4 linked regions of the Drosophila melanogaster genome follow. The protein of the gene in region 3 interacts with the protein of the main gene of each other region in a biochemical or structural test. Each region holds a gene or a part of one and is shown on either strand. Other genes may lie near its edges.

What was found.
Region 1: of the proteins of Act5C (region 3) and Mical, one has a biochemical effect on the other in vitro, tested with the Drosophila melanogaster proteins (2 studies listed by BioGRID).
Region 2: the proteins of Act5C (region 3) and mor interact in far-western blotting, tested with the Drosophila melanogaster proteins (one study listed by BioGRID).
Region 4: the proteins of Act5C (region 3) and spir are reported together in a solved structure, tested with the Drosophila melanogaster proteins (2 studies listed by BioGRID, with this or other methods).

Annotation. Positions count from the first base shown.
Region 1 is NT_033777.3:10,039,853-10,044,419, forward strand, and holds the start of Mical (molecule interacting with CasL), read right to left. Parts: upstream 3,044-4,567; 5' UTR 2,940-3,043; intron 2,147-2,939; exon of another isoform or gene 2,120-2,146; intron 1-2,119. Other genes in the region: CG3909 (uncharacterized protein), read left to right, coding at 3,495-3,497, 3,551-3,842, 3,914-4,152, 4,210-4,397, 4,452-4,567. UniProt on the Drosophila melanogaster protein: Monooxygenase that promotes depolymerization of F-actin by mediating oxidation of specific methionine residues on actin.
Region 2 is NT_033777.3:15,967,620-15,974,820, forward strand, and holds mor (moira), read right to left. Parts: upstream 5,295-7,201; 5' UTR 5,194-5,294; coding exon 5,077-5,193; intron 4,986-5,076; coding exon 4,860-4,985; intron 4,680-4,859; coding exon 3,755-4,679; intron 3,705-3,754; coding exon 3,374-3,704; intron 3,311-3,373; coding exon 2,536-3,310; intron 2,474-2,535; coding exon 2,263-2,473; intron 1,976-2,262; coding exon 956-1,975; intron 892-955; coding exon 767-891; 3' UTR 515-766; downstream 1-514. Other genes in the region: Rbf2 (Retinoblastoma-family protein 2), read left to right, coding at 1-338.
Region 3 is NC_004354.4:5,899,228-5,905,916, reverse strand, and holds Act5C (actin 5C), read right to left. Parts: upstream 5,057-6,689; 5' UTR 4,904-5,056; intron 3,936-4,903; exon of another isoform or gene 3,821-3,935; intron 3,228-3,820; 5' UTR 3,220-3,227; coding exon 2,089-3,219; 3' UTR 518-2,088; downstream 1-517. UniProt on the Drosophila melanogaster protein: Actins are highly conserved proteins that are involved in various types of cell motility and are ubiquitously expressed in all eukaryotic cells.
Region 4 is NT_033779.5:20,309,444-20,314,255, reverse strand, and holds the start of spir (spire), read right to left. Parts: upstream 3,038-4,812; 5' UTR 2,437-3,037; coding exon 1,842-2,436; intron 1-1,841.

The sequences.
Region 1 (4,567 bases), on a different chromosome or scaffold from region 3:
TGTAAAAGATACTTGTCCTTGACCGTAAGTTTATCTAATTCGGCTGATATTTTATCACTGTCACAACGCAAAACATTGAACGATATCAATTTCCCATTTATGGGTTAATTGGGGGAAGAAAGGCAGATACGGGGATTCTACTCGAGTCGGGTTTGGAGCAATGTTTAATGGCTTTTCAAGTGCTTCTCAAAATGAGGAACCGAAGACCCTGCCTTCCACTTGCAGTTGCAAACGCATTGCGGTCATAAAGAGTGCACTTTATGGCATTCCACAAACAAAAGTCAAAGGTTTAAGGGGGCACAAAAATGGGAGTGTTTTACAGGAGTGACAGCAGTTAAAATATGTGAAAGTAATCTATACTTTCTAATTGGAACTATTCCTTACTTTAAGTTCATGATAGATTGGCTAATTGCAGAATATTTAAATAAATTTAGCACACAGATACATATTATTTATATTTTTCTGATCCCACATATTTAGTAAAAGGGGGAAAAAAAAAAACAACAAAAACGAGGCCCCAATTAGGGCCCAAATTAGGTGTTTTTCTCGAGGCTGAGGCTTAAAATAACATTCCAACCTTCGAAAGTGATAAAAGAGCCCAGCGTTGATTATTATAAATAGCAATGCTCCACCTATTATCTTATCTCTGGATTTAAATACACTTTTGGCCATGCCAAAGATCGGACCAGAAATATTTATTCAGTCAAGCAAAAAGTTTGGCTCTTCCACTGGAATCCAAATGGTGAGTACTTTCCCATTGTTCTTGTGCTTTTGCCAGTGCAATGTCATGACTTGACGCCATCACATTTTCATTTTCTGGGCTGCCTTGATTGGTGTAAAGAAAATTGCACCGACATCAGAACGCGATCTTAAAAGTCAATGCTCCTATATATTGCTCTTGTGACTGGGGGGTTCAACGAATGGCGATTATTCCAGCTATATTCTTATCAGAGGATGTTCGTGATTGCGACTCTCTTGGTAATTTCCATAGAGTTCAACCCGTACAATGGGTTTACAAATAGCACTATATATCATTTTATTCTTATTTTATCTTCATGTACTAAGCACTGTATATAATCTCAAAACAATCATTTGATTATCTACTTTGATAGATATTTCATGTAATTTACTGAATTTCTTTAAAATAATGTCATGGCTAATATGTCAAATCTTTTCGCTTACTTGACAATAATGTTCCCTGCTTTCTTGTTTGACTTTCTTTTGTTTTTGGAAAACTTCGGCACTTGTCATTGTCGGCTGCTGCCACGCCCTCCGTCACGCCCCTTACAATGATGTCACATTGCACAGACTCAAATTGCTCCAATTTCGCCCCCATTGCTTTTGACTATGTCACGCTTTTCCCAGCGAGCGCTTTTCCACACTTGACTTCGCATTTCCCCGCGATCTTGGAACCGCGGTATTCCCACCTCAACTAATAACTTTGTTGGTTTTCCATCCATTTTCCGAGTGCATTGCGCCTGGGCTTTGGCTTTTTCCGCAGTTTGCCACTGTTTCATTTTCTTTTTGCATGCCCTGGATTTCCATTTTGTCGTACTTGGTTTTTGCGCTGGTTTTTCTCGCCGATTGTGAAAAGTTGTGCACTAATGGCAGCTGTGAAATGCATTTATGTTTATGGTCTAGTTTTTCCATTCTTATTATTATTTTTTTTTTTTTTGACGCCTTTTGAGCACCTCTTAAGGGCAAACATTTATTCTTATCCTCCAGTCACATTAGTGCGAAGGCTAAGAGCAACCGTGATGGGTTTGCTTTGGAATTACGAATGGAAGTGGAGCAAAGCTGTGGGATTTAGAGTCATTTAACTTTACGGATCTTTAAGCGTCACTACTACTACCTAACTACCTTTCTTTCTATAGGACCATTTCATACCCTAGAAGACATCGTTTGCCTGTAGTATTGTTAAAATAAACGAATAACTAACTTTCATATACCAAATCTCAAGTAAAGAATGTTTTATGAAATGAATACACCTCTCTTAAGATATATGAATCCCAACATGTGTGAGAAAATTAACATAAAATACCGATAAGATTACATAAACATGCAAATCTTCCACTTCATCTTATAATATAGCATTATTGATCCCCGGCTGGCGACTCACCTTGATAATTTACAAATTCAGTTGGAACTGTTTGATTTATTCGAAAGGGTTTGCATATATCATTTTGAAAACGGCAAATTGCGATTATAATCGAAACAAAAGTGAGCAGAGGAAGAGAAGAAGAATAAGAGGAATGGCGATATTAGGGAGATAAAGTTGCACGCGAAAACCGGTTGCCGTTATTGTTTACACCAAATCGGAAACGAAGTTGTGGGGGCAGGCGCGAATATGAATGTTGTACGGAGGGGAAGAAGTGGAAACTGGGCGGAAAACGGAGAACGGGGAACGGGAAAGTGGGAATCAATAAAACAAACACACCACGAAAAACACATGGAAAGTGCAGCAAAACTATATGCCTTTCATTTCGGTTTAGTGCACAAATCGGCGAGTCCTGCTGCCACAAGAATGAATCATTCGAATCTTTTCGATTTTGTCGAAAGATATGATATGTGAGATAAATAATATGCTGATGCACAACCACACACACACTCGCACTCACGCTCACGCACACCCGCCCCCACACACACGAACGAACGAGGCTTCACTGTTTATGTTTATTAATATATTCCAGACACGCGGATCCATAGAAGAAAATCATACATATTCGAATTCACGGCGGCGACGACAGCAAAATGAAAAAAAATCGAAAACGAACCGAAAACTGAAAAGCAGAACACACGCGTTGGTCCTATTCGTTCCTTTGTTTTTGATATCGTATCGCGAGGGGCTAAGAACTATAACTATATCCGCATTATATAACCGCACTGGTAGATCCGGGCATGGCTGCACCGTGGGGCACGTAATTGCACCCGTCACTTACACTTTTCCTCGCCAGTCGCTTGGATCTCGCGTCCGAGTCGTTTGGGGATTTGTTTTTTAAAACGCGACGTTCGTTCCTCGGTTCTCGACGGCTATAAACAGTGTGGCCGCGCCGGGAGTGCAACTATAAGCCGATGGTGTGACCATGGCGGGAAAGTGGTATTATGCCGTGTGCCATATGGGCAAATATACCAAAACAATAAATAGCAATTCAAATAATTTAATATATAACATGTTTACTTAAAAACTAAGCTTTTTACCTAAATAAGTATAATAAAGATATAATAAAGTAAAATATTATTTTGTTATATATAATATTACCTGTGAAAAAATTTTAAAAACGTCAATTTGTTTTATACTTCTTTATTTCTTTCATTTATATAAAGAATTCCATGTTTAATTTATTCACATTGAAACATATTCAGCATAACAGTTTTGACCCACTGTAAACCTCCCTTTTCAATACTAATTCTAACGTCAACCATTGTTATCGATAACAGCTAATTTGCTGATCGCTCTCGTTCGCATAAAATAAACACTTTTCCGGCATTTTAAAATGGTAAGTAGATATTTAACGAACTGTGCCTTTTATACATCCCTTTTTTCCGCTAGTTTTCTGTCCTTCATAAAGAGGAAAATGCGCACGACAGTCAGCTATGGGCGTGCACCTGGGGACGCGACACTGCGGCCTCAGATCCGGATGACGCGGTCGTGGAGCCCGAGGAGAATCCCTTTGATTTCGATAAGAAGGAGGCCCGCCCGAAGGATTTCTTGGTCACCGGCGGACTGGATGACTTGGTAAAGGTGTGGGACTTGCAGGAGGACAACACCCTAAAGTTGCGCCACAAACTAAAAGGACATGCCCTGGGAGTTGTTTCTGTGGCCGTCAGTTCCGATGGACAGAGTAGGTTGAAAGATTCTGTACTTGGGAGATAGAGAAATGGACATCAATTAATGGTGCCGCCTTCCTTCCAGCCATTGCCAGTAGTTCTCTGGACTCCACCATGTGTTTGTGGGATGCCCGTTCGGGCGACAAGAAACACCTACTTAGCTTTGGGCCTGTTGATCTCTGGACGGTGCAATTTTCACCCTGCAACAAATATGTGATATCCGGACTGAACGACGGCAAAATCTCCATGTACAGTGTGGAAACCGGAAAGGCAGAGCAGACATTGGATGCCCAAAATGGGAAATACACGCTTAGCATTGCCTACGTAAGCTTTATCTGGTAAATAACCCATTTTGAGAATCCTATAGCTGTATTATTCTAGAGTCCCGATGGCAAGTACATTGCCAGTGGAGCCATCGATGGTATCATTACCATTTTCGATGTGGCCGCGGGCAAGGTAGTGCAAACATTGGAAGGACACGCGATGCCAGTGCGTAGCCTTTGCTTTTCTCCGAACTCGCAGCTGCTGCTCACTGCCTCAGATGATGGTCACATGAAGCTTTATGATGTGTAAGTGGCTTAACACCTATGACATTTTCAGGCACTACTATCTCCTCGTTTTAGAACCCACTCCGACGTTGTGGGCACCCTATCTGGGCACGCATCTTGGGTGCTGTGCGTGGCATTCTCCGAGGACGGCAAACACTTTGCCAGCTCCTCCAGTGATAACAGCGTGAAAA
Region 2 (7,201 bases), on a different chromosome or scaffold from region 3:
ACAGTGTGTATGTCCAAAGTATGGGCAACTATGGCCGCCACCTGGAGTGTGCGCAAACACGCAAGTCACTGGAAGAATCACAGAGTAACGTTGGTATTCTGACGGAAACAACTTCCAACGAATTGAGCATGAGAGCCAACATCAGCATATCTTCACCGCCCCCTCCCAGGGTATGCCAAAGTGGCTCCTGCTCCAGTCATCCACCTTCATCTCCCGCCGCATCACCACTTTCCTTGCAAAGCTCGCCCAACGTAAAGCGTGCTGCTTCGAGTAACGACTTGATGAGAGAGATCAAGCGACCAAACATCCTGCGGCGTCGCCAGCTTTCAGTGATCTAATAACCAATCAAAAAAGGCTTAAATACTTGGCTGCATTTTACGCAGCTAGCTTAGTATATTTCTTAAACTCAAAAATGGTAATTAAATAATGTTTAAATTATAGATATTTTATTAACTTGTTCAAGTAAGTTAAAAGCTTTTGCTTTTGTAAAAATAAAGGAATAACTGCCACTCGTAGTTTAAATAAATTTTTATTGAATGCCTATTTTTCGGCTTTGAAACTTGGTTCAAAATATTTGTGCAATTGCTTGTAAACGCGACCGGACACGAAATGAAACTTACACAAAACTGGAGACGCGTCAATGTGTAGTGCATCTCCTTCAGATTACACACAAGAGTTGGGCTTAAAGTGGAGTATACATAATACATACTGAGAGCGTACGACTTAGAGCTATTTACTTTAACGTTTCCTGGCTTATGAGTAAGAGTTAAGAAGAGGGAGCTACGCCGGCGATGGGAGCAGTGTTCGCCGGAGGAATTCCCCCTGGTGGCATTGCCGATCCCGGCGGTGCGTTGGCATCTGACACTGGACCGCTGCTTGGTGGTGTAGTATCTATGGCGGGAGTTGGATGTCTAAGTATTATAGTTTATGAATTGTTATCCGTTAAAGTTCTTACCCATGGGTGTAGGTGCTTGAGATTGCGCTGCTCCCGCTGCGACTGGTCCGGTTTGGTCGCTCGGATTCGTGACAATGGCCGTGGGTGCGCCCGGCGGGAGTCCTCCCGTGAGCGAAATCGGTGGCGCTGCAAAGGGAGCACCGTTGGGCGACGACACTACGTGCGGGGGCAACGGCTGGTGCTGGGCGGTGGGACCCGCTAGCGGTTGGGACTGCGGCGGCAACTGGTGCGGATGCGGAGGCAGCTGTTGCTGCTGCGCCAGGTGCGGATGAGGTGGCAGCGTTTGCTGTTGCTGCTGCGGCTGCTGGGCCTGTGGTAGCTGCTGTTGCTGCGGCAAGATCATTGATCCCGCGGCCGCCTGGCCTTGGAGCTCTTGCTGAAGACGATGATGTGCTTGTTGGCGCGCTCGGAACTCGGCTGCCTTTAGCTGCTCCAGGTGGAATTGCTGACGCTCTGTGATCAGCTGCTGACGCTGGTACTCCAATCCCTCGCGCTCTCGCTCCATGGTGGCCTCCAGTTCCTCAAAGTGGCGCAATTTGATCTCCAGCTTCTTCATCTGAGTCTCAACAAGGAGAGCCACCAGGGATTTGATCTTACGCTCCTCCAGGGCAGCCAGGTGTTTGGCTTTAACTGCTGCCGATGCCAAAGCTGCCGCCGCCGCAGTCTGCATGTTATTTTCGCTAAATGTTCCTTCCTTTGGCACCGCCAATGGCCCTGTTCCGGTTCCCGTTCCCTCTTTGGCCTCAGTGCCGTCCTTAGTTTCGCCATCGCCACTGCTGTCCTCCGTCTTGATGTCCACTTCGCCACCACTTGCGGCTGCTGCGGTTTCTGTGGGTGAGGATTTGTTTGATTTGTCTGACTTGATGGCTGACTTATCGCCCGAAGGCGAGGAGCCGGACGACTCCTTTGGTTTCTTGTCAGTGTTGTTGGTGTTGCCTGTCGCTGATGATGATGTGGAACTCGAGTCTGTGTTTGTGTTGGTCTTATCCGATTTTGTATTGTCTTTGGACTTGGCATCGTCTGTGGTTGTTGTTTGTTATTTGATGGTTGTGGTGTTGATGTAAGTTTGGTAGATTGGGCGCAACACAAAAACGAAACAATATACGAATACAGTGCCAAATGGTGAACAAATTGCGAATTTTGAATGAAAGCAACACAAGAGTTCAACAAGACAAACAAATGCAGAACCAACAATTGAGTAAATTCCCTTTAAAATCGATTAAAAGAAAACTCGCTCGACTTAGCGACTTTTCCCTTAACCAACATCCATAAACCCCCTTTACCGATCTCTAATGGCTTTGGCTTACCGTCTTTTTTGCTTAGGTCCTTCATTTCCTCATCAGAGCCGCCAGCGGATGCAGATGCGCCACCCTCCTTGCCCTCTTCATCGTCCTTGTCGTTTCCGGTTCCTGCGATTCCACTATTGGCCAGCCCAAAGTTCGGATTAAATTTACCACCTGCCGAAGCCTTCTCCACGTTTTTCAGGTGGTTGTCCATTATTGTAGCGGGCACCTCATCCTAGCATAAGTTTTACATTGGATGTTAAAATCATGGTTTAAACGTGACTAAAATGTAACTACCTTAATGGCTGCAAATTCCTCCATGGCAGCCTTTGCTGCTGCAGCGGCAACGCGAGGATCGACCACAGATGCCAGGAATGCGACGGTGGACATAATGGGATTGCCACTCTTGCTGAACGGAATGGGTTGGCAGGCCAAGGGGCCCAGGAAGCCACCATCATCCTCTAGATACGGGTCCTCGATGGGAAGTCGAAGGAAATGCAGAATGCACTCGTCTTGAGTGCGAGATCCAACGTGCTCGCAGACCTTGTTCCAGTCGTCCTTGTGCATTTCCAAGCCCTCAAGCAACAGCAGAGTCTCCTGATCGGTCCATTCACGAGCCATGCTTGCCGCCGTTCGATTCCTCATGGCCGCCGGCTTCTTTGCGTACTGATCCAGCTTGAGTCCAAACTGGCTCACTCCGGAACTTAATCCTCCGGCAGCGCCATTCTCTAGAGCCTCTGTCTTGATGCCAGTCAGACCACTTTTATCGCCCAACTCCAGGCCGCCATCTTTACCCAATGGCTTTTTGTCCAGATCCAACAGCGTCTTTGCCGCCGACGGCTGTTGCGTCTTTTGCGGATTTATGGACTGTAGACCTGATGGCGTATCCGAAAGAATGTGAAAGTGTGAGGTTGGTGGTGGACCCATAGGGGTGGGGCGGACATCCGCATCGATCTGGTAGTTAATCAGGCCCCATTGCTCCAAGAAGGCGTGTACTCGCATTATGGCGCACACATCTCCGGCAAGATTACGCCTACAAGCTGTGCTGGTCAAATACTCCGTCGGATTGAGCCTGAAATAGATGAGTAACATATTCAAAACTATTTGCTGCAAAAAAAATGGAGCTTCAACTTACCTGTACGTATCAATCATAAAATTCCTGTAGGCCATATAGATTTCTGGTGTCTTTGACTTATTCTTGCTGTTAAAGAATTCCGGCATGGCCCGTTTCTCGATCACATGAATGGAGTTGTAATCAAACCAAGCCGAGTACGAAGGCACGATAATGTGGTGCGTCTGCTCGGTCACATTGTCCTCCATATCCTCTTTGGCCGATGAAGAGAATTCCTGCGTGTTGCTGTTATCACTTGTCTTGCCTGTCTGCGAGTTTTCCCCATCTCCGGTAGACATGGCTTGAGCGGCGCTTCCTCCAGTCATTTCGTCATCCAGATCGGTCATAGTGCCACCTAGATATCAGTTTGTTTAGTCAATGCAGATATAAGATAACAAAACTTACCTTTAATGGGCATCATGTCGTTGTCGCCACGAGATTTACCGCCCGGAGCTGGACTGGCGGTGGACTGCAAGGCGGCATTTGCCTTATGAACCTCCTGAACATTGGGCTCGGCCGGCGGATCATCCAGATCGCGAGTTAAGTCCTCGTCATCATCGTCGTTGCGCGACTTTTTGTGCACCACGGCGGGAGAACGCTTACGCTTGCCCGGCTTTGAGGTGGATGCCGAACTGGCGGGAGATGGTGAACGGCGTCTCTTCTGCTTGCCTCCGCCCGAGCTGGCAGCAGGCTTCTTCTTCTCGTCGCCGAATGACATGATGTCGTCTATGGACATACGCTGTTTGTGCGTCTTCTTCTTGCCCTGTTCGTCAACCTCGTAGTCCTCCTCGGCCATCCACTCATTGTACTGCTCCAGGTCCACGATCCAGGATGCAGACACACGCCAACGTTCCGCCGGTGACTCGGGATTCTCCGGAATGTGATCGGGCAGGTCAAAGTTATTCACAGCCCAAGAATCGTAGGACTCGGGGAAGTAGTACCAATGCAGCATCACATGTCCGCCGCGCTTGAAAATGGGCCGCGCATACTCGTCGGGATGTGGGTCCACCACAGGATAGACGATATGGGTGGCGTCCTCCTCGTCCGACACAATCTCTACCCGTCGATTGTCCAGGATCTCGCGCAGTTTTCCCTCGAAGCCCTTTTCAATCTCCGGCCGAATATAGATGTACGGTATGCGATACAAGTCCGCCTCGACCAACGCCTGCTCAATCTCGATCAGCAGCTGGATGTTGGGATCCTTGCGCGTGGGATTCTTGCCAATGGAGAAGTCGAACTTCTTGCCGCGTTGCTCGGCCCGGAAACGGAACATGGTCGAGAAAATGATGCACAGACCACCGCCGCTCTTGAAGTCCAGAAAGCAACGCATCTGGTGTGGGTGGTACGATTATTAGAGATATGTTTTAATGTACGTAAATCATGTAGCTAAATACAAAATATAAGCTAGTGGTCCAAACATTTGGCCATTGGAGGATTAATATTTACGTGTACACACGCAACACGGGGCACCCTGTCCCCCTCACCAACCACAGGCACTATCAATACTAACCGGAATTCTGGTTGCCGGCGGATCCGCTGAGTTCTTGCCCAGCTTGGCTTCCACATACTGCAGGAAGTGAATGAGCAATTGGGCCAAGGACTCCTTCGTGATGGGCTCCGAACTGTGGGCCAAATACTGCAATAAATACGGTTGTGAGTAAATCGTTTTTTTTTCGCCGCCTGACAGCGCCATTTTTGTTTGCGGCGGCGTTGTTGTTGGCACGCACCTTCTTGCAGTTCTTCTGCAGCCACTGGCGAATCGATTCAAAGCCCTGCAGCGTCTCCGGCGACTGGAAAAAGTCTATATTCGGACTTCCGTCCTTCTTAGGACCCAGTGTGTTCATGTTGCGGCACTTTTGTGGACTTTTTGTCAATTATCTTTTCACTTTTCCACGCCAAAAAGCCAATAAACGCTGCGTTGATAAAATAGAGATGGTATTTAAATCGATGTTGTTGTGACAGTCGTTATCGATATTTCAGCTATCTCCACTGAAAGTTATCATTATTTTAATCTTAGGTTAGGTTAATATATAAACCTATTGGTTGGTGGAAGCCATATATTAAATAACAAGAAAACATATTGGCTGTTAAGAGAATTATATAGACTTCGAAAAAGTTATAGCTAGCTAACGTGTCAGTTAGCTTTACATCTCAGTGGGAACAAGCTATTATGTGAAAATTGCTGTTAAATTCAATAATGCCATCTGGTCACAGTGGCGGTGGTGCTGTATTGGCGTCCCGCTCGCGCCGCCTAAAAACCGATGCACCACGATAGTCAGGCCGCACATATAAATGCGACTCCATCGCGCTAACATGGCTGCTGGGAACCGAAAACTTAAAAATATTGTGCTGTCAGAGTGTGTTTGCATCAGCGTGAAGCCCAGTGTTAAGTTAAAACATTGACTGCCTACGCCCACCAACGACAATTGCCGTAAATCGAATTCTGCCGTTATTCGCAACGCCGGATTCCCATCCGTGTGTCCGTCGCGAGTGTGCCAGTGTGCGTGAAAATAAAAAGTCAATGGTGCGTGAGTGCGAGTGAGTAGGAAGAAAGCAAAAGCGATTGGATTGATTTGTGACGCTGCTGGCGAAAAGCAGTACCCAGTACCCCTTTCCTTGGGCCAAAACACACACATACGTACGGCTATAGTAACTCAGCATCGATTGTACAGTTTGAGAGCAAACAATTCAATTAGAAAATGCAGAGCGCATGAGTTGAATTGTGAGTGGGCGCCCCACATAAGCTGACTGCTACCGCACAACGAAGGGAACTAGAAAGAGGAGTGCGTAGTGCGGAGAGAAGAGCAAATGCGAAGCGAAGAGGAAGAGAGCGAGAGAGAGCAACCATTGCCAAAGGTAAGTGATATAACACTCGGAGATCGGGAGTGGGAATGCGAATAGGAACATAAGGAACCCCTAAATTCTTATCCTAGATTGCAACATTATTTATATGGCAGCAACTTATCGCTTCCGCTTGCTTGTGTGCGTGCGATAGAGATAGATAGAGTGGGGCCAAGGGGCTCTGTTTATTGATAAGAGAGGAGAGCGAGCGAGAGAGAGGGAGAGAGAGAGGAGGTGGGCGCCAACGCAGCAAAACAGCGGAAATCCTTTACAAAAACTTGGTCTACCACTAGCTCTTTGTCTTCGCCTTCTAGTCTCTCTCATCTTGGCAGCCCGTTCTAGTGCGCGTATTTTTAGTCGCAACACATTGCCCAATTCGCCAGCCGCTATTTGTGTCGTCCATTTGTTCATTCATCGGGCTCTTTTTCCGATTTCAGTGGGTGGCATTTAACAATAATCCCTGCGTTCGCTGTCCACGTCCACATTACGATACGTTTAGTGCACGGAAAGAAATAAGCATGTGGTTTCATAATATTAGCTATTGAAAAAAGTTCTTAAATTTAAGCCTCACTCGATTCTGATGCATGAAATATTATTGGATTGTAAATGAGCGTCATGTTTTGGTATACAAATCTCAAAGTAATTTAAAAATTCTCATCTTACCGTACCTTGAACCACTACCAATCATCTCAGTACAGCATTTCAGCGAATTTCTCACTGTGCACTACAATGCCAGGCGGTACAAGCACCTGTATTTATTTATGGTCCGCTGCCGTAATCGACTGCAGTCGCCGCTTCCCTCTCTCTTTTGCTACCAACAACTTGGGGTAGGGCACCTGAACTAGTTTCAAACGGCGGCGGTCGGCCTTTTCAGCTTTTTCGCATTTGCCATTTTCCCGCGGTTCGCAACATCAGCGACATTTGTCACAGTTTCTTAAAGAACATTTGAATATCCAAAGTTTACTTGCCGAACTTGACTGCGGCATTGCGATGATGATGCTGCCCGTTGTT
Region 3 (6,689 bases):
TATCAATCCGCACGTGTCGCTGCTCCAAGTGCTTCTGTGCGAAGTACGGCGGACTCAAGGCGGGAATATTGAAATCCGGCCAATCGCGCTGCTGACCCTTGGCCAAAAGGGATCACATCGCTGAATATTCAGTTGGTAGGCTCATACTTTGTAAGCGTAGAGTGCGATACCCTGTAGATAGTGGGGAAGCAACACATCGCATCATATTCACATAGAAACCGCAGGTATGACCAATCTTAGTCCTAGAATACTATTTTATACTACATATTTCTATATTTTTATTGCTTTACTCTTAATTTGTGATGTTTTTAATGAGACCTACTAATTATTCGAACATTTGGGCATACGAATATCGAAAAAAAACACTAACTACATATGTATTTATGTATGTATTACATATGTATGTATATTTAAACCGCTCAAGGTGCTACGAAATCCGTTGTGAACAAAAAACAAAGGAGAACGTCTAGAACGCAAGAAGAAGAAGATGAACGAGATCAACAAAAACGGAACCGTTGAAACTCAAGAATCAAAGGAGAAAGCACAGAAAGATAACTTTTACCGTAGCATCCGAGCGCCAAATCAAGCAGAGCCCATAATTATACTGGCAGAAATGATATCGAAGTCGAACTAATATATAAGCAATATAATAAAAATGTATTTAAATAATATAATATCTATGTATATTTGTACGTGTAAGTCTATAAAGTAAGTCTATAAATCCCAATTCGCACCACTTTCTTTCCGGTGCACTGCATTGCCCGTGCGAGTCAGAGAAAGATGGAAAGATGGGTGCTCCTCCTCTTTGGCCGCATGAATGGAAAATGTTTGGGAAAAACCGGATAAACGGCGCTTGCAGCCGCTGCTTTTGGCCAAACTGGCGGATGAAACTATGCCAGCGATTTGTGTTAGCGTGTTTGCCTTATTATCTCGACTTTTATTTGGATCTTGGCCATTTAAAACGGCACTTTAATCGCATCATTAGCCCGCATGCGTGCGTGCGTGCGAGCGAGACAGCCGCTTGTCGTCGCAGCCTTAGTTCGTCGACCTCGTGCCCTCTTCCTCTTCACCCTTTTCCGAAGCAACCGTTGCAGTAACGGTTGTTAGACAATACACATGTAGCAAATTGTTCGCTTGTTGTTGTTTCATTTCATCAGTTTTTCAGTTGCATTTTCACATTTTAATTAACATTTTCAGGCGTAAACTTATCAATCGATACGCATGCAATTAGAAAAGTGTACAAATAAAAAAAAAATACATATGTATGTATGCTTGTATGCTTGAATGTGTGTGAATATCGCACGCGAAACTGCAGCCAAGTGTGAGTGTGTGTGGGTTATTATTTTGCCGGCCGGCAAAAATGTGGAAGAGAGACAGACAAAAAGATGAGAGAGGAGAGGGCGAGGTTAGCAGCAGAGAGCGAGGAGAGCGGGAGAAAGAGAAGACAGATTTGATTTTCCTTTTTGTTTTCATATTTTTGTTTCACTTTGTTTATAATTACATCATAATTAAAAAATAATACATAAGGTTGCTGACGAATTGTACAAAACGCTAGTGTGTTGTTTGTGTTTTGCAATGTGTGTGTGTTCTTTTTGCGCTTTGGGAAATATCTTCTTTAAGTTCTTCTTTATCTTGATGTCCTTGTCATGCCGCGAATGTGTGTGTGTAAGCTTGTGGGTGTGCGTGTGTTGGGTGTTGTTGGTGTGTGTGTGGAATGGCAGAATATGCATTTTCGCTCATTTTCATTTTTTGTAGTTCTTGTTATATTAAAGGTTTACAAATAAAAAAAAAACAAAAAATACATAGTATATCATATCATATCTCATGTGGAATAAATTAATTATATTAATACGCTGGAACCACACAACATGCGCCCAAAACGATGATGATAATGATGATGGTGTGCAGGTGGTTCCGCTCTTTTCATCTTGTAGTTGGTGTTGTTGTTGATTTTGTTGTGCTGCACTCCAAACTTCCACCACTCGCACTTGCACTTTCGCTGCTGCTTCCTCGACTTCTCCTCCTCCTCCTCCAGCAGAATCAAGACCATCCCGATCCTGATCCTCTTGCCCAGACAAGCGATCCTTCTTAGAAGCACTTGCGGTGCACAATGGAGGGGCCGGACTCGTCGTACTCCTGCTTGGAGATCCACATCTGCTGGAAGGTGGACAGCGAAGCCAGGATGGAGCCACCGATCCAGACAGAGTACTTGCGCTCTGGCGGGGCAATGATCTTGATCTTCATGGTCGACGGTGCCAGGGCGGTGATCTCCTTCTGCATACGGTCGGCGATGCCAGGGTACATGGTGGTGCCACCGGACAGCACGGTGTTGGCATACAGATCCTTACGGATATCCACATCACACTTCATGATGGAGTTGTAGGTGGTCTCGTGGATGCCGCAAGCCTCCATTCCCAAGAACGAGGGCTGGAACAGGGCCTCGGGGCAGCGGAAACGCTCGTTGCCGATGGTGATCACCTGTCCGTCGGGCAGCTCGTAGGACTTCTCCAACGAGGAGCTGCTGGCAGCGGTGGCCATCTCCTGCTCAAAGTCGAGGGCAACATAGCACAGCTTCTCCTTGATGTCACGGACGATTTCACGCTCAGCGGTGGTGGTGAAAGAGTAACCGCGCTCGGTCAGGATCTTCATCAGGTAGTCGGTCAAATCGCGACCAGCCAGATCCAGACGCAGGATGGCATGGGGAAGGGCATAACCCTCGTAGATGGGCACGGTGTGGGAGACACCATCGCCGGAGTCCAGAACGATACCGGTGGTACGACCGGAGGCGTACAGCGAGAGCACAGCCTGGATGGCCACATACATGGCGGGTGTGTTGAAGGTCTCGAACATGATCTGGGTCATCTTCTCACGGTTGGCCTTGGGGTTCAGCGGGGCCTCGGTCAGCAGCACGGGGTGCTCCTCGGGTGCCACACGCAGCTCATTGTAGAAGGTGTGGTGCCAGATCTTCTCCATATCGTCCCAGTTGGTCACGATACCGTGCTCAATGGGGTACTTCAGGGTGAGGATACCACGCTTGCTCTGCGCCTCATCACCCACGTACGAGTCCTTCTGGCCCATGCCGACCATCACACCCTGGTGACGGGGACGTCCCACAATCGATGGGAAGACGGCGCGGGGAGCATCGTCTCCGGCAAATCCGGCCTTGCACATGCCAGAGCCGTTGTCGACAACCAGAGCAGCAACTTCTTCGTCACACATTTTGTAAGCTGCAATGGAAAGAATGCGGATTTCCCATTAGTTTTTGGTTACCTTATTTGGTAATGTAGAAATGGCAAAAAAAAAACTGAGAATTTGCGTGGTTTCCTTGGACTGCGCTGGTCTACCAAAGTACAATTGTCATAACAAACTAACTTGTTTTTCGTGTACAATTAAAAATCACTCAATGCAATGTACGTTTTTTTAGTACAAAATTTTAATCTTGGACAAAAAAAATTTCATAAAAAAATACTTTTCCGATTGAAAACTGATTTTCACTTGCGATCGAATTGTAATAAGAAATTAAAAGAACAGTTACAAAATAGAAGGCCCCGCCCCGAAAAATTAAAACCACAATACGAATATGCCGAAAAGGGAGGGGAGAAGCTTCTAGACGACACTTAACGAATGCCGGTGCAAAAGAAAGCCGCAAAGAGAGCACAGTTGCCTGTGTGTATGCGCCCTTAAAATGGCGGCTGCCTAAAACTCGAATTGGAACCCGAAATTAACATTACAAAATAAAAAAAAAAAAAAACACTAAACGCACTCTAGAAAATTTAACAATTAAGAGCCACGAAACTTTTCAAAGCTAGTTAAACTTTACCTTTTTGTTCGATTTAACAAATTCAAGGCGTGAAAACTACTGTAAACGCAAGTGGCGAGGCTGAGCTAAGCGACCGCACGGTTTGAAAGGAATGACTGGAATAAACCGACTGAAAGTGGCTGGTGAATGTTGAATGCCAGTTAACTGCGTTTTTCAATCGCTGCCTGCGTCGACGTCGCCATAGGCGTCGCTCGCTCTCGCCATCTCGCTCGCTCCGCGCCATGGTCGCTATGGGTGCGAAGGAGAGCGCTGGTGTGTTGAATTGCGGCGGCCAAGTTTTGTGACCATATATGGTCATGTTTCGAGGCGAAAAGCAAACCGTCGTCTGGCTTTCGCTCTCTCACACACACATACACTCTCTCTCGTTATTTTGCGCGTGAGTGTGTGTATATGAACGAATGCTCGAAGGTTTTCTCCATTTTTGCAACTACAACTTTGAAAAACCGGCAAAAATTTCTGCTTCAGCCAAAACGGCTGCCTACGTCACTATTTTCAAGAACCTGATCTAGTTTTACAGATTATAATATGCATATACTGTATGTATGTACATTTATGGATGATCTGGTGTTTTAGGGCGTGGGAAAAAAAGAAAGTGTTGGCGAATTGATTTGCAATTCGTAATTTGGCATATCTTTGGGTGAAATCGTGACACGCCCACATCAGCGAGCTTGGCTTTAAACACTATATTAGATCCTAACATTTGAGTTGGGGCTATTGAATTGCTTTGGTTTTTATAATTTCGTATAATTTGTATGTATATATCCTGAAATCTGCAGTTGTAATCCTGATTCTTGAGTTATGGTATTTGAAACCCTGGTTTTGTTAATTTTGATGTCTTTCGACCTATTGGTATTTTGATTGACAATTTAGGGCCAAACTTGGGTATTTTTGGAGTTTTGGTCAATACAATAACTCTTTAGCTCGTGGCTAGTATTTTTTGATCACTTTCAGCACTGGCACATAAAAAAATGTTTTGTTTACAAAAAAAATCACACATTTTCCGCGGCTTTTCTCGATTATTGCTTTTTCTTGGTGGGAGTGGTTCGATGGTGTTTTGTTGTTGGGAAGGGGAAAGCTACTTACATTTGGTGTGTTTTATTAAAATTAATTAAATAAATATAAATTAAGTCTTTCGGTTTGGTGTCTCTGGATTAGACGACTGCTGGCTGATGGAGCGGCTTTGTGTCGGGAGGAGTATCCACACAGCACAAGAACTCAAACGGTAGTGATATGAAAACTGGTCCCGCAGCCCGTTTTATAAAGCCCGCTTAGCGCTAAAACCTTATCAGCCGCAATGCTCTCCGCTCTCAAGTCGCGTTCAAAACTTTTACCATATATGGGTATGAATTGTTCGCCGATTGGGTTTTCATTTACGGAGAATTTCCTCCGCAACTGGGTGTTCGTGCTTGTGTGTGTCTTGTATATCGCCATGAAGAGTGTACTTCCATGGGTCCTATCAGTTGCGGCATGTGATTCAATTTGGGGGTTACTCATATTCGATACTTCAGCTGGTTATCTTTATGCTGTGATGGTCACGGTGCTTTTACACATTTTTTCCCCAACTACTCATTGTATGCCAAAACATACATATGTACATGTGTTTATAGTGGGTTTATTAGTAATGTCCAGCGATATTAAAACATTACAGTTAAATAATATTCATATTAGCTTACGTTTACTGCTATCTGCACTTCAAATTGGTTATTCCAGGGACATTTTGTGCAACACACATCTTCTAGTAGGGCATTCACTAGTCGTAGAAAACACACCTAACTTAAGCCGGTTTTAACAATAACGGCGAAACAGCTGCCAGACGAGAGAAAAGTACACAGCAAGAAGCATTTCTATAATGATGCCGTCCTAAATATGCAGCATTTTTGCTCAAATTGATCATTTCGTTGCATCGCTCAGGTGGTATAGTATTTGGCTATTGAATGTGATTGCTATCTTAATAGTTTTGAATAGTAATAGTGCAAATATTCATTCATAAAAAATAGGTAATCGATTTTTTCAGTGCAGTCTATGCGTTTGCGCAACAGAGACGAAGAGAGAGACGCCTCACACACAAGCACATGCGGTCTAAGCTGCTCTCCCTCTTTTTCTCTCTCTCTCTGGCTTGCGGCAGTTTTCCAGAGGCTGTGACTCAGTAAGCATTTCTTGTTGTTACCCTAACGATAAGCGTCCGATTCCTAATTCTCTTTCAAATAATTTGTTTTATTTTTTTTTTTGTGTGTTTTGAAGTCAAACAGCTTCATAAACAATATTAAATATCGCAATTGTTATTGCAAATGCATTCGTATCAGGCGCCTTGATGTTTTTCGCCAAAACTTCGTCTGCTCTTTGTCAGCGTAATTGCGTTTGCCGGTCGTGCCGTCTTGCTCGCACGCGGCTTGCAAACAAAAAGTGAAAGAGGGAAAGCCACCTGTGTTGTTGCTTTTGTTGCTATCGTTGGCTGCACACACATGGCAATAAGTAACCATATTGTAGACTTATTTATTTTAGCGTTTTCGTTGACTAATCTTTGTTTAAATAATTGCCTATTTCGAGCCAAAATGACGCATAAAAGGAAACGGCAACATGCGGTGCGTTGAGCATGCGTAAGCGAGATGGCGCTAGAGAGAGCGCAGCATAAAAAGAAAAAAACAACCGGCGAGTGGCGAGACACGAATAATACACACACGCACACATGGTCAAAGGAGTGGCTCCAACGTCGGTGACGTCGCGCCCAGCCACAGACCCCGCCACGCCCCGCCCCACCCTTCCTTCCGCTGCCCCGCACCCCTTTCCTTCCACTACCGTTTTGCCGCATTTGGTATTGCCATCTCGCTTTTTTGGCTTTACTTTGCTTTTTGAATAAGCCAAGAAACTG
Region 4 (4,812 bases), on a different chromosome or scaffold from region 3:
GACGATCACAGACCTTTAATTACAGAGGTTTAAGAGCTAAGAACATTTTTTAAGTTATTTATAAAAGAAAATTTCTGAATTTTAAGTAGTATACTGAAATGGGTTTTAAAATCCCCTAGGACTTCCTACAGCATTATCAGCCATCTATAGTTCCTTCACCTCCGAGTTACACAGTTCAATTAATACTGTAACTTCCTGTATCTGCGTGCCCTTAAGATTACCCATGTAACTGGCTAATTGTCTATAAGAGCTAACTAATTGGCCACGCTGATACAAAAGCCGGCTATAGGCAGAGTTGGCCTGGCCAAATAGAGATAGACAGGCCCATACGAAGAAAGATGCAATGGAATGCAGTTAATGCTGCAGACCAAAAGCTGAGCTGAGTCACATTAAGGGCCACCTAGGAGAACGAAATCCAAGATTCCCATCACTACCCACTCAGAAACGCATTTTCCAATTAACGTGGCTTATCTAAAAGTCGATAGATTACCGACCTGTATTTTGACAGTCCCCGCGCAGACGAATGATTAAACAATTAGCTGCGAGACAGACTCAGACACGTTCTGTAGATTCAGAGATCGAGAGGCGAAAAAGTATCCCCCCATCAATTACAGCGAATGCAGGGGGAATGCCGAAAGGAAAGGCTGTGATCGTTACACTGGAAAAAATCTACTTTCGTAGATTTGGATTCGATTGTATTGCGGCAAGGAAAAGCGTTCAATCTTCTGCCCAATCCGAACATGACCTGCCTTTCTTCCAGTGATACTTGTGCTCTCCGAGCTACAAAAGAAAGTGAAAAACACTGCTGATAGGGTACTGGGATGGTACCTTCTTCATGGGAGTCGCCGTTTACACTTTCCCAAGCCAGCACGCAATCAGACAGAAGGCAGAAGTGGGGAAAACCCCAATCAAAGCTGGCTGGCTGCATAACTTAAATGCAGAGGTCATCATCGGATGGCGGATAGTGTGGGTTGTTTGTTTGGAAAGCGCTGGGGACTCCGCTGGCGATGGCCGGGCGATGCCAATAGTCAGATGGATGGCACACGGAAACCCACATCACGGCAGATGTCCGAAAATAAAAGGCCGAGAGAAAGAAGTTAACTGTGGCTTATTAACTGAAAATGAAAGCGTTTGCCGAAAAGACAAAGACCCCTCAGCATTCGGAGAGGCATCAGCGCAACCGGTTTTCCGGCCCAGCTAATCACAGCCCCAGTTTTCATCACTGTTACAGTTCCGCATCTGAAGTCAACACCCAACTGACCTCTGACGGGCCGAAATACACATAAACTATATATATATCTTTAGGAAGACTCATAAAAAATAATAGGAAATATTGCTCAAAGGATACAGAACTTAACACAAAGTCGAAAGAATATACACGGGTTGCTAGCTTAAAGGTAGTCAAATTGCATTTGCGTGCAATGTACAATAAATTATTTGTGATTAAAACATGTTACTATAATTGTAAGGAAAAACGACATTAAAATGTCATTTGGGGTTGGCAGGTTCATTAGGTTATCAATCCAAATTGTTAGTTGATCAATGTTGTATTGAACATTTCCACTTCTATATAGATTCTAAAGATTGCCAGTTGTGTGCAGCACGTTAATAAATAAATGTTATAACATTAATAACTATGACTATAGATCAATTTTAGTTCAAATATTTTCAGCATGATTTAAAAAATAATAAATTAAAAATTCAAGGAATAGAAGATTCATACTAAGTTAATTTCCGTTAATTAAACAACTGGCATAAACTGCAGGAATATTAATTTCCGCTAACTGTAGCCGTGAGAAATATGTATGCATATTGATTTTTCAGTAGGTCGGTCTGCTTACCTCTGTTGATGACGCTGCTGTCGCCGCTGCTGCTGGCGCTGTGGTCCGGCTGATCCACAATCACGTCGTGCTGCGGGGGGAGGGGGATCTGCTCCTGCTGCAGTTGCTCCTTAGGCGTCAGCTGATCCGGGCCGGAGAAGTGGACGCTGCCGTCGCGATGGAAGTGCAGCTCGAATCCGGTGGGCAGGGCGGCCTCGTAGTCCGCGGCACAGGTGTGCGCTTGTACGGCCACCTGGTGGTAGAGCCCGGCGAACTGGTGGATCAGGGCCCAGGCCTGGTCCTCGGAGAGCGGCGCCTTAAAGGAGTCCAGGATGTCGTGCAGCGTGACGCACTGTTCTGGCGAGGAGCAGCGGTGGAAGGCTTGCAGGATGAGCGGGCGGGCTTGGCCCGCCTGCTGGGGATGCGCACTGGAGGACATGGCCAGCTGGTCCGCTGGCAGCTTGTGTTGGGCATCGCCGTTGGCGCTGTCCGGCGATGTGGACAGGAAGGCGTCTTCCTTCGCGTCCTTGAACTTTCCACTCGGGGTGGGTGTGGGCGTGGCCTTGACCTTGGTGGGCGGCGTGTCCGCCTGCTCCTCGGCCTGGTGCTCCGTCATTATGTGTGTGGGCGTGTGTGGCTATCGATGGCTTTCAACCCGATTCCACTGCAAACCCGGCACTGGCCAACATATAATTGATTTTTTTGCCTCTTTCGGGTGGGCTAACCTGCAAAATTCGCGGTTTGTTTTTGGTTCGATTTTGGTTTAGTTTTGTTGTTGTTGTTTTTCTGTGTTGTGTGTGGTAAATGGCAAAGGAAACTTTAATACAATAATAACACAACACGAGGGGATGGAATTCGGATTCCCGACGTACACGATTCTAATATTTTGTTTGTCGTCAGCTACATTAAACACAAAGCACAGGGTATAACAAAAAACACATGATTTTCGCTTGAGAATATTTTAAACTGGCGTCACGTTTTTGTTTTCGCACTTCTTAAGTCGGCATTCGCAAATCGCCGTTAGACTCTGCTAGAAATTTCACAACACTGAGGAGATGGAAATCACGCACTTTGCTTTATTTTTATTTTCTTCTGTTTCATTTGCATTTCTTTATTATTTGAAATCTCTCTGTTTTTCTTCGGCAATCGCACTTCGTTTTTTCTCACCGGCTATTTTTTACACACGTCCGTTCGCCGCGAGTTGCTAATCGTAAATGACACTCTTGTGCTCAAATGCATGCAGCATGCAACAATGTTACCAACTTAAATGTTGCCGGAACGGCCGTTCCAACTTGAGTTAAGAGAGCATTTTGTTCGTACAAGAAGAGAAATATCTTCGTTGTGTTCTAAATGAAATTTGAATTGGAATTGAGGGATTTTTTTTTTAATTAAAACTGTTCTTTTGAAGACAGCTGATTCACCTAATAATAAGATCACATCAAAATGTAGAGTCAATTCGACGGAGAGCGAGAAAAAAAAAACAAACAAGCCCGCGGGAAAAACATAAAGTTTTCTCTTTTCAAATTTGTTGCTTCAAAACGAAAAAAGTGAATGGTCTCTTGTTATGATATACTCTCTTTTTCCGTGGAAACATGCATAGCAACAAGATGATGCAACATTCCCAAATGTTGCAGACTAAAGTGTTGCCGACTAAAATGTTGACGGATCAGCCGTTCCAATTGGAGTTGAGGGACAATTTTTATTCGTAAATAAAGAGAAATTTTTTCGTTGTCTTCTAATTGGAATTAAGGAATTTTTGGGGAGCGACAGCTGATTTACATAATATAAACATTGATTACAAGAATATATTGTAGTATGTGCATATATCGAGGGTACACTGTACCTATAAGTACACAGCAACACTTAGTTGCATTGCATAAATAAATGTCTCAAGTGAGCGTGATATAAGATCACCCATTTATGCTTTAAGCTAAGTCAGCATCCCCACGCTGGCCGCTGGCCATATATGCGCATAAGCTCTCTCTCTCTCTCTCTTATACATATATATATACGCTGCTCTTCTGCCGCTGTCGACGGCGGCGCAGTCGCAGTATTTAGGTAAGATTAGACACTCTGTAGAGGTTAAGCGGGCAGAACCGTTTCTGCTACTCGAAGAGATAAGAAGAAATAAAAAGGTGGCCTGACGGCTGCACCCAACTGCAAGGAAAACACGTGTTCTCAATTGGTGGCATATATTGGTTTATTACATGGCGACCGTGAGGCAGGAGCCTGCGATCTGAGGACTACTGAGGAAATGCTGCTAATATTGCCGATTTGATTTGGGAATTCTAAACAGCGACAACAGGTGTGAGAGGCAGGCCGCCCCTTACACCAGTGCGGGAGACCTAGAGACGGGACACTGATGAAAAAAAAAAGAAACAAAAATACTGAGTGAGTAGAGTGTGGTAATGGGCAAACGCGGATGTCAGGAAATCAAAAATAAAGGTATAGCACATATTAAGTGGCTATGATATACAAATAAAACACCGCCCCCATGGGCAACGGCACCGAAATTAACTGCCGAATTAGACTTTCTGAAAGAAAACCTCCAGCAAAGAAAGCCGAATACCACAACTCACTCAGCAAAAATAGAAATAATCAATGAAGAAATAACTGAAAATTCAACATCACCCAAGCCGAAAAGACCCGACGTCTGCATGAACGACTGCCCTCGACCATTGTAAGCCGCAACAGCAATTAGCACGGCATCCTGCGAGGGTAGGATTAGGATAAAGGATAAAGGATTCCACCGGCGCGCCGCACATGACAACAGCGAATGTCTACCAAGCAGACGTTCGAACACCCTGCTCCTGTCGAGCAAAGGGATCTGCCAAGTATCAAAGAGGTAATAGAGGTAGATCCGTCCGCGGGACCAAAGCCCTTGACCATACAAGAGTACAAGGCACGGACTGCAGCGAGGGAGCAGCCACCTAAAAAGAAGAGGGGTGGCCGCCGGATTAAGTTGCTCAGCGCCCGGAGGCTCAACATCGAA